Linked DNA regions of Arabidopsis thaliana. The protein of the gene in region 3 interacts with the protein of the main gene of each other region in a pairwise test. Each region holds a gene or a part of one and is shown on either strand. Other genes may lie near its edges. The genes, in order: EXO70H1, IAA15 and HB32.

Region 1 (4,435 bases), on a different chromosome or scaffold from region 3:
TGGTTCGTGTCACACGATAATACACATTGTAGAAGGAAGACTAGAAGTAGAACCAGCTACATTAGAGTTTAATGTATCTATATAATAATAAGTCAAAAATACCCACTTGGATTATTATGTTCTTATCATTTTTGGGGTTATCAAAGATACTTTATAAACTTTTGACTTTTGCATTGGCATTGTCTTTACTCCGATGATCTACGCCTGAGAGTTGACCGCTTCACAGTCCAGTCTTCAAATTGTTTTCGCACTTACGATATCATTCATTTCTGATTCGTTAGGGCTCCCCCAAGCTTACAATCTTCCTTAGTAAAGTTTGGGAAAAAAACAAATAACATAAACATAATCAATCTCAATCTGAAACGAACTAAACACTACTATAGTTCATTTTCTCTCATATGTATATAACAAGATAATTGTCAAAACAAAAACTGTGAGTTGTAATCAAATGATGGCATTGATCAATAGTCATTGCTTTGTTGATTGAAGAAGATTCCACTTTTAAGGAAAAAAGACAGCTACAATAACTAAATTCTTTAAGGTTCGTTAGCAATGTAACCGAATACGTGAAGTAACACTAGCCATTGTTTAAAGAAAGAGAGTCGTCGAAACAAAACGTTGACTAGCTTATATGCTCTTATAATGATTTAGACAACTCACGTATATACGACGTTGAAGCCAAATTAGTTGAAATGTATATGTAAATGTAGTTGACTTTGGTAAGCGAATCTCCATTTTGGTCTTTTAAGAATCTGTAACGCCTGGAAATTGCCAATACCTCCGGTTCGTATATCTTTATATCATGATTTATGAGTGCGTATATTTGACTTTTTCTTGCAAAACCATACATACATAACATGCGAATGTCTTGTGTCTGTGTATATGATATCTAATGTATGGGAAAACTTGGAATATAGGTTTTATTTTCTTCTAGACAAGATCATGAAGTATAGTACGTATCTTTTATGATCATCTTTTTGGTCAGACGAAAGAATATTAGTTTTATATAATACATAATTTGTGATTTGTTTTTCTATCCTCTATAAGCACAAACATATACTATCAGATTATGACACATCAACAGTGCTAATATAACATTAGGCTGTAAAATCAACTTAAATATTTTGTAACACTTTTCTCTTAACTATTACAATAAACGTATAGCTGTTAGTTTGCAAGGACAGCGTTAACAACTTATTGTATCATAGTATTGATTCAAAACGTTAATTACTGTGATAACTATAACTTATTAACTGAAATGCAGACGTTGACAGACACACAAGAATTGAAATGTAGAAACGCGTTTATATAAGAGAACGCTAAATATATAAATTTCGGACTTTTCTAGTGAAACTCTATTAGTCTTCTTTTTTTTCTTTGGTCAAAAAACTTCCAATACGAAATTCGAACAAGAAGTATAATTAGTGATCAATAATGCGAATGATGCAATAAAAAGTCAAATGAAATGAAATTGATGAATTTAACTGTTATATAAAATTATAAGTTGACAGAATGAAATAGTCATATAATTCTAGTTCTAGACGTGGATAGCAAAAACTTTGTCGCCCATATGTATATAAAATTTGTACTCTAGTTATCTTTTAAGTATATAAGGCTTATATTATACATCGAAGTCAATGGTTCTTTGTGGTCTGGGTCTATAATCACAGGTAAGCACATCGTCATCGATTTCATTTTCAAAGTCAAGACCAATCTCGCTCTCTATATAATTGTTAAAAACCATCTTTCTAATTAAAATAGAAAGAGTAAAAGCCAAGTAACACCATTTTAAAAGGCTTCGCTTTCAATTCAGAAAGAAGAGAATAGAGAGCTTCTTCTTCTTCAATGGCGAAAATGGCGAAATTTTCTTTCTTCTCTTCGTCATCTCCTAAATATCATCCTTCTTCGCCTTCTTCATTCACTTCTTTCCCGGCTTCTCCTCTAAACCAGAACTTTACTCAGGCTATGATGGAGGAAACCGTGGAGACAGCGGACTCCGTCATCAGAAAATGGGACCCGAACACGCCTTCCTTCACCAAGATTGTCTCTCTGTTCAACCATAGCAGGAAGGAGGCTAAAGAGTTCATCAGATGTGTCCGTGATTTGCGCAGAGCGATGCACTTTCTTGTCTCTCAAGACTCTCAATCTCCAAAGCTTGCTCTAGCTCAGACCCTGATGCAGATCGCCATGGCAAGGCTCGAAAAAGAGTTCTTCCAGATATTATCTTCAAACAGAGACAAGCTTGATCCTGAATCAGTTTCCGGTCAATCCTCAATCTCCAGCAATTCTGAATTTGAAGATGTTATGGGATCTGACGACGACGATGAAAGTGACAATGAGATGAGGAAAGCTGGCGAATCGATCACTCAGGTTGAGAAAGCTTCAGCTATGGTGATGTCTGACCTTAAGGCGATAGCAGAGAGTATGATAAGTTGCGGATATGGTAAGGAGTGCGTAAAGATTTATAAGCGGGTCAGAAAATCTATTGTAGATGAAGGGCTGAGCTTGCTCGGGATTGAAATCTACAAAGGCTCCAGATTTCACAGAACGGACTGGGTCACGCTCGAGCATATGATCAAGAACTGGATAAAAGCTGCAAAGATTGGCATTGCCACGCTCTTCCGTGGAGAGAAACTTCTTTGTGATCATGTCTTTTCTGCTTCCAATTCAACAAGGGAGTCATGCTTCTACGAGATTGCAAACGAAGCAGCCACTAACCTTTTCAAGTTCCCTGAATTTGTTGCCAAGGAGAAGAAATCGCACGAGAGGATCTTCCCGCTAATGGATCTGCAGGCTGCAATCTCTGATCTCTGGCAAGACATAGAGATGATATTCCACTTTGATGCAGTAGCTGGTGTGAAATCTCAGGCGCTCACATCGCTGCAAAAACTAAAGGTCTCAATCCACAGTGCTCTCACGGATTTTGAATCAATCATTCAGAAAGATACGACGAAAGCTCTAACACCTGGAGGAGGGATTCATAAACTGACACGATCAACAATGAACTTCATCTCTTCCCTTTCTAAGTACAGCGGAGTCTTGTCGGAAATCCTAGCAGACCATCCACTCCCGAGAAACACTCGCCTGCTGGAATCCTATGTCAGAGCTCCAATTTCGGAAGATGAACAACACAATCACGCACTCTCTGTCCATTTTGCTTGGCTAATCCTGGTTTTGCTATGCAAACTAGACACCAAAGCAGAGCATTACAAGGATGTTTCTTTGTCTTACCTTTTCCTTGCAAACAACCTTCAGATCATCATTGAAACGGTTGGTTCAACTCCCCTAAGGAATCTCCTTGGAGATGATTGGCTCAATAAGCACGAAGATAAACTCTGCGCTTATGCTGGGAATTATGAGATAGCAGCATGGTCCAATGTTTTCATGTCTTTACCAGAAGAACCCACAGACCTATCACCAGAGGAAGCTAAAATATATTTCAGAAGATTTCACACGGCATTTGAGGAAGCATATATGAAACAATCATCACGAGTTGTACCAAATGCGAAACTTAGGGACGAACTAAAGGTTTCAATAGCAAAGAAACTTGTACCAGAATACAGAGAGTTTTACAGGAAGTACTTACCAATGCTCGGCCAGGAGAGAAACATTGAGATCTTGGTGAGATTCAAGCCAGATAATTTGGAGAATTACATCTCTGATCTTTTCCACGGTACACCAATTCATGCATCCTCTTCTTTTTCTTCATCTTCTTCCTCTTCATCCTGGAAATCACTTGGGTGTGTTTCAGGCTGAGAGACTTGATCCATAGTTTTGGCTAAATATTCCATTTTTTACATGATGTGAAGTGAAAAAAATGTAGATACGTGTGTTTGCATTGTGTGTGCAACAGAAAATGAGAACAAAAAAAAAAAAATGAGATTTTCTTTACATAATTTATGACGAGTTCTTCATTATCTAAGAAAAAACAAACTTGCGATACGCTTTAAGAATAAAACGAGTAGTCTCTAATAACCGAAGCTGATATAAATCTGATAAAGAATTCGATTCAGTGATATACATTCAAGAAGCCAATTACAAATCACAAAGAAGAAAAAGGCATAAAAAATCACACACAGCATACTGTAAACATAATGTGCTGAAGAACAAAAGCATTATTCACTCCTTCAATAACTAGAAAAAGAAGGAAATATGATATGCAAGAAAACATTTGAATCGCAACTATTACTTAGGAACTCCATGATCAGAAGGACGGGACAAAGATTGCCAACCGGTACAAATTTGCATGATTTGCTTGAGAGTTTCTGATGGTGGCTCCACAGTCCATGTTGGGTAGTGTTCACTTGGATGGAATACACATTCTTCACTGGCTCCTGTCATCAAGGAAGGTTGAGCTCCATTCAAGAACAAGTCATTTTCAGATCGTACTAACCCAGTTCTCGCTTCTTCCTTGTCAGCAGCCTACAAACAAACT
Region 2 (3,675 bases), about 25 Mb from region 3:
TAACGGAATAAGATCTTAATCAAATTCTGGATTCCGTTATGTAGATTTTTATGGAATGACAACAAAAGAAAGAAAAAATAACTGGGCTTATTTTGGGCTTGATACCATAATGGCATTATGATGTATCAAATCTGCCATGATGTATTCTTGACCCACTGTAGGAAACCTGGATTGGTTTGGGCTTAATTGGATAAACAATCTGTATAGAATTTACTGGTTTCGTAATTCTCTAAGTCTCGGACCGCTCTATTATGTTATCGCAATTTATTATACCCAAGTAAATGTCCAAGACATCAATATCAGTTTTCTAGAGCCTAAAAGCAGTTTCGATTATTTGAGACAAAAAGTATCAATTAACATTAAATACTAGCTACCAAATTTATGTACTTCTTATTATTATCTCACATATTTTGTTACGAGTCGAGTTAAATGAATTATACGACTGTTTCATTCCATGCGCATTATAACGAAAGAAAACAAACTTAGAAAACAATGGCTGACCGGAATTACCGGTCACGGGTTTGTAATCGAAACCGGTAAATTCGTCTATGTGTCGCCAGTAGGACCTATTAGCCCCTGGTTTAACTCTTATTGCCCTTATTGGTCTAAGAATAGTGTCGTGAACCATCGAAAAAATCATTTATGATTCTATGTTCCCCAACGAAAAACAGAGTCACGTGACTTACGCATGTGACCCTACGCTGCTGTAATTAATGTTCTGCTCTTTTCCTTTGTCTAAACTTTTTTGACATCTCATTTCATATTGCATGTAAATAATATGACTAATATGAAATTAATACCGGACACTGAAAAACTTTTCAGTAAAAACTTTATACTTGTTCACTAAAAAAGGGATAGTTATCTATCTCTAACTTTTTTTATCCCAAATCATGAAACTTTTAATCGCTTTTATACAATGATTGATGTTCATTATATATTTTATTTTAGATTTTATTTCAATTTTGAAGTAGAAGTTTCAACATTTAGTTCTGTTCACATTGTTTTTTTGGTGGGAACATTCTTTTCATTGTTTACAAGATCCACACGCATATTAGTTGGGATTTCTTCTGATATTCGGTGAAAGATTAAACTAATGAAGAAGTATTGTACCTAATTAGTGTGTAGTGTACGATGATAGATAATTAGGAATATATTGTTAGACCATGATTTGTTTTCGACCGACGACAGTGAAAGTTGATGTACATATATAATGGTGAAACTTTTTTACCAAGAAAAAGTTAGTTGGAATGATAATTTAAAGGAGTAAAGCGACAACAAAGTGTAGACAAAAGGAACACTATTGAAGATCTCTCCCGAAGAATATATTGGACTGAAGTTTTTTTTTTTTGGTCTAATGTTAAATTATTGGACTGAAGTTGACAAACACAAACAAATATATATGGGAATAAAGTTTATTATATTTTCCAACGATTATAAGCAAAGGTAACATGAATGCGATTAAAATGATATTTTCAACTCTATTTAGAAAGTAAATAATGGTATTTAGAATATATATTTTTCTCGTTTTGTGAATGCTAGTGGATAATATAATCAAATTATATATTTTTCTCCTTAATCGAACCCATCAGTCGTGACGTGGGAGCTTAAAGATCAGGGCTGATTTCTTCTTCTTCTTTCTTCTTTTTTAGTTGACAGTGATTTCTTCTTCTTCTTCTTCTTTTGATACCAGGCTAATAGAAATTAAAACTGAAAAGATATCCGTACACATGCAATTACATCCACTAATGACAGTTTAGAAGATGCTAAGTGGCTATAACTATAAATGAGCCCACACCACACGAAGTAGAAGCTAATCACCAAACTGTTCACTTGCTTTCGTGGAGATATAAAAACCGCCAGTTACAGGAAAACGTGTCATTATAGGTAGGGTTCACTAGTTTTTTAGCTGACAAGTATAGATCGACTATAAATACAAAGTTGGAAACCTCGAGAGTCTCACACACTCAAGCCAAAAGTTAGTGCCACATTGTCTCATCACTTTCCGCACTTTTGTTGTTAACTAACTTTCATAAATAGATTAAGATATTAATGTCACCGGAGGAATACGTTAGGGTTTGGCCGGATTCCGGTGATCTTGGAGGAACTGAGCTGACCCTAGCTTTGCCTGGCACTCCGACAAATGCATCGGAAGGTCCAAAAAAGTTCGGGAACAAACGTAGATTCCTCGAGACCGTTGATTTAAAACTCGGGGAAGCACACGAGAACAATTATATCTCAAGCATGGTCACTAAGTACGGCATATATATATTATATTAATTTCATTTATCGTTCATATAGGTCATATGCATGTTTGATTGATCTTCTTAATTTATTGTGGTTTTAGTGACCAGTTGGTGGGCTGGCCGCCGGTAGCGACAGCGAGGAAAACAGTGAGGCGGAAATACGTGAAAGTGGCGTTGGATGGTGCGGCCTATCTCAGAAAGGTTGATCTTGGGATGTACGATTGCTATGGACAGCTTTTCACCGCTCTAGAAAACATGTTTCAGGGGATAATAACAATATGTAAGTGATCGAGATAAGTAGGAAAAAATAAAGATTTTGATGTGTTTGGATGGACTGACGAAGTGAAGGATATTATGGTAAATTTACTTACACTTGGGGTTTTGGATGGTGGTAGGTAGAGTGACAGAGTTGGAGAGGAAGGGAGAGTTTGTTGCTACTTACGAGGATAAGGACGGTGACTTGATGTTAGTCGGAGATGTGCCGTGGATGTGAGTTCTCGGAATTACCCTTTGTGTTGCTTTTACGTACTTTTCCTTTTTTATTCAAAACTAGAATTTCTGTACTATTTTGTTACTTACATTCATATCAAAACTAGAATTACTGTATTATTCTGCTGTGAAGGAAACTAAATTTTCTTGGGATTGATGATATTTAATTTGTGTAGGATGTTTGTGGAATCTTGCAAACGTATGAGGTTAATGAAAACCGGAGATGCTATTGGATTATAGGTCTCTATTCTGCTTCCCACAACGTAAACGCATCGGATCTTCGAAAGGCTATATAAGATTATGATCACAAATGCATTAAATACTGTAGAGATGTATACAATTGCATTTTTGAATTGCAATATGCTATATATGTAATTTCAAACCTTTTTTGGCCGTGGATTTTGTATGTAATGTACTACTATTGTTTAAATGATTTTACTTTTTTTTTTTTTAATTCAATAATTACAAACCACTTTTAAGCATCAGTGCCGACCACCACGATCCGGGCATGACGACATCGACACTCGACAAGACGGGATGCTCAAAGTTTTAATATGTTTTTTTTAAAAAAATTACACGTTTCATTTTTATGCATTCGAATTTGTGCATTAAATGATCCTAGAGATCGTAATATAAAAGCGGATTTTTTTTTTTGTAAGAATGCTAGGTCTTGTAACATTTTTCTCTAGCACTCGTAGACCTTACTGTTATTGATTACATGCAGGAATATCAATAAACGAAGAACTAAAAATGGAATTGAATACTTGAGATTGACATTAAATTATCCTAGAGATCGTAATATAAAAGCGGATTTCTTTCTTGTAACATTTTTCTCTAGCACTCTGTATATATCTTATTGTTATTGATTACATGGCGGAAACATCTATTATCAATAAACGAAGTGCCATTTGAAAATTTAAAATTTTAACATTTATCCAAAAAT
Region 3 (3,439 bases):
GCCCAATTAAAGTTGAAACTTTCGTGGGAATGGGATGCTTGGTATAATGGTAGCAAAGTTACAATTTTATGAATCAATTAGTTCACAATTTTATTGGTATATACTTTTAAGTATATGGTTTTACGACTTTATAAAAAAGCAAAAAGTATAAAAATTATTTTTGAAATGACTATTTCTACAAAAAAAAGCATAACAGCTTTTATTGGCTTTGATGATGTCATTATAATTTTTAGTAACAAACCTCGAAAAAACACAATGTTGTGTTATTTCCGTAACTAATTGTCTTTTCATTACGTGAAATATATCTTACCATTAATTATTTACAAATTTTAGAATTAGATATGTAATCTTTACAATTTTCTATCAAAACAAAATGTCATTTTGCCATCCTTTCCCATAATAATTAGTACTACTATTCAACTACTTCAATATTATTACGTATAAATATTCTGATTGGCGAACAGTATTGACCATAAATAAAACGTCAGCTAGTTGTCTTGTCAAAACTCAAATCCCACCGACGTAAAAAGAAGAATCATAAAGACCAATTAAAGAGTGAACCAGTTAGTAATTAAGGACATGTCCAAATCAAACACATTAAACCCACTAATGATAAAATAATAATCCATTAAAATAAGCGATCAAGGAGGAGAAATTAACACAGAAGGGATGAAAATGAAATTGGAACTAAATTATAGTATTATCTCAATTAAGGATATTAGTTAATTAGTTAGTGATAAAACTTTTTATTATTGTTAACCCAAGTTTTAAAATGATAACGAGTAACACCAATCCCTTCACAGAAGACTCTTATCTCTTCTCTAAGCGCTCTCTTATCCTTCAACGTCCATCCCAACTTCGCCGCGTAATCTTTCATCGCCTCTCTCTGCTCCGCCGTGAACTTTGACTTCCTCCGCCTCTGCACCGTCATCTTCTCTTCCGTCGAAGTCTCCTCCGTGTCATCCTCCTCCTCCTCATTTCTTTCCTCAGCCGTTTTCCATTTCAGCCTCGCCAGCTGCTTCACGCGCCTTAAGCTCGTGAACGGGAAGCGCGTGTGATTGATTTGAGGAGAAGATATGACGTCTATACGACGGTGGTAGCTGCGGTGGCAACCACAGGCGACGCAGAGATCGCCGGTGGATGGTTGAGAGTATTCACGGCAGCCATCGATGGCGTAAGAGCCGAGCTTCGCGGCGTGGTTGCGCATGCATTCTCTGTAGACACAAGTACTCTGCATCTTCTTGGCTCTCTAATTAGAAGAGAGAGACTTTGTTTTTTTTTGAGTAATGATTTTTGCGTTTAGGGTTTGTTTTGGAAGAGTTTGGTTTTGGGTTACTTAAGTTATGATATGGTGTTTTTTTGTGTCAGAAAGAGTTGGGAGTTACAAAAAGAGCAAAAATTATTGTTACTTACTTGCTTTAAGATTTTGTACTTACGTGTTTATTAGTTGTCATAATAAATGTGAAAAACCCACTTTTTGAACTGTTTCACTGGCTTTGCTTTTCTACACATCCATAATTTCGTATCCTCTCAGCTCATAAAGTTGTCATCTCTACCCATAGTTAACTCTTTCAATCCATTGGGTTAAGTGTAGTAGCAATAATGAGGAATAAGAAAACTAAACCACTTTTTGTAAAACTATAGCGGCTAATTAGTACTAGTAAACTAGTACTAATATATTAGTAATAAGTTTTTAATATAGGTATAAACAAATTTAATAAGTTTGGATTGTATAGAGGTCACATGTTTCTAAATAAGTAGAAGTATTTTGATTTATAAAAGTAAGATTTAAGAAACTAATTTTGTAAAATTGAGAAATATCAATAATATATTGTAACTAAAATGAAACTATAATTAAGAAGCAAAGATCAAAAGTTTTCAAAGAATCTGATTTTATTGCAAAAAGAAGTCTGAAACGCTTTCTTTTAAGAGGTTTAGCAAAAAAGCAATTGTGTGACCCACGAGTTGACTATTCACTATCGTATATGTTCATTTGCCTACTTTATGTTTTGTGTGTAATTTAGCAAGCTAAACGATTATTTTACGGCTTAACGATATCAATCACACCATTAATAATTAAGATATGTATATTTCCATATTGTACAAACAAAGTCATAATTTGACTTGCTCAAACCACATACATTATATACGATTACAACACTACTACACTAGAAAATTGCCTCAAAACAAAATCAACGAAACATATAGAAAAGCCAACCAAACAACACTTATCTAATGAACTTATTACGTAATCAATCGAGTTAAACTGAAAAATGGAAGATAATAATTTAGTAACGACATCAAAAATATCTTTTTTTATTTTGGTCAAAACTGAGATTTCTTAATTTTAGCTTATCCTTATCTAATTCGTTTTAAACCAGCAAAGAATTGACATCAAAGAAAACAAAACACGGTTTAAAATGAAAATTATAAAGCGCGAAATAGAAACTAACAATTTGAAACCACACACATTAGTCGGAAGATGAAGCTTTGGAAACGCGCCGCCGTAGTTCTCAAAGACGGACCTAGTCTCATCGCGGCTGATGACATTCTCACAGCAGCCGTTGTGAAAGCTACAAGCCACGACGAGCTCTCCATTGATACAGAGAGCGCTCAATTCATCTACCGTCACGTTCTCTCTAGCCCGTCAAGCCTCAAGCCTCTCGTAAGCTTAATCTCGTCTCGCGTGAAACGCACGCGAAGCTGGGCGGTTGCTTTAAAAGGCTTAATGCTAATGCACGGCTTCTTCCTCTGTAAATCAACCGTAGCAGAATCGATCGGACGGTTACCTTTCGATCTTTCGAGTTTCGGCGAAGGTAATTCACGGATTATGAGCAAATCCGGTGGGTTTAATCTCTTCGTACGTGCTTATTTCGCGTTTCTTGATCGAAGATCGATTCTGTTTCACGATGGGAATCGTCATCGATACAACGAAGAATCATCGGTTCTGATTCGACTTGTGATTATTCGTAAGATGCAGATTATTGTTGATTCTTTGATTAGAATCAAACCGATTGGTGAAAACATGATGATACCTGTGATTAATGAAGCTATGGAGAATGTGGTTAGTGAGATTATGGAGATTTACGGTTGGATTTGTCGTCGTATTGCTGAAGTTTTACCTAACGTGCACTCCAAGATAGGTAAAACAGAGGCAGACTTGGCGTTGAAGATTGTTGCTAAATCCATGAAGCAAGGAGGAGAGCTAAAAAAGTATTTTGAGTTTTGTAAAGACTTGGGAGTTTCTAATGCTCAAGAGATTCCTAATTTCGTAAGGATTCCTGAAGCGGATGTGATTCATCTCGATGAACTCGTAAGGACGGCGATGGAGTCGTCTGAGGAAAGTGCGGAGAGAACAGAGATTGCTGAGGAAGAAGAAGAAGAAGAGGAAGAGATAGAGACGAAGCTTTCTGATTTGATAACACTTGATCATAATGAG

Evidence for each region.
Region 1: the proteins of HB32 (region 3) and EXO70H1 interact in a two-hybrid assay, tested with the Arabidopsis thaliana proteins (one large-scale study listed by BioGRID).
Region 2: the proteins of HB32 (region 3) and IAA15 interact in a two-hybrid assay, tested with the Arabidopsis thaliana proteins (one large-scale study listed by BioGRID).

The regions. Positions count from the first base shown.
Region 1 is NC_003074.8:20,439,976-20,444,410, reverse strand, and holds EXO70H1 (exocyst subunit exo70 family protein H1), read left to right. Parts: upstream 1-1,760; 5' UTR 1,761-1,845; coding exon 1,846-3,756; 3' UTR 3,757-3,920; downstream 3,921-4,435. Other genes in the region: AT3G55140 (Pectin lyase-like superfamily protein), read right to left, coding at 4,186-4,422.
Region 2 is NC_003070.9:30,221,077-30,224,751, reverse strand, and holds IAA15 (indole-3-acetic acid inducible 15), read left to right. Parts: upstream 1-1,982; 5' UTR 1,983-2,049; coding exon 2,050-2,252; intron 2,253-2,344; coding exon 2,345-2,531; 3' UTR 2,532-2,732; intron 2,733-2,908; 3' UTR 2,909-3,123; downstream 3,124-3,675.
Region 3 is NC_003070.9:5,045,844-5,049,282, reverse strand, and holds HB32 (homeobox protein 32), read right to left. Parts: upstream 1,502-3,439; 5' UTR 1,238-1,501; coding exon 731-1,237; 3' UTR 530-730; downstream 1-529. Other genes in the region: AT1G14686 (ENTH/ANTH/VHS superfamily protein), read left to right, coding at 2,483-3,439. UniProt on the Arabidopsis thaliana protein: Putative transcription factor.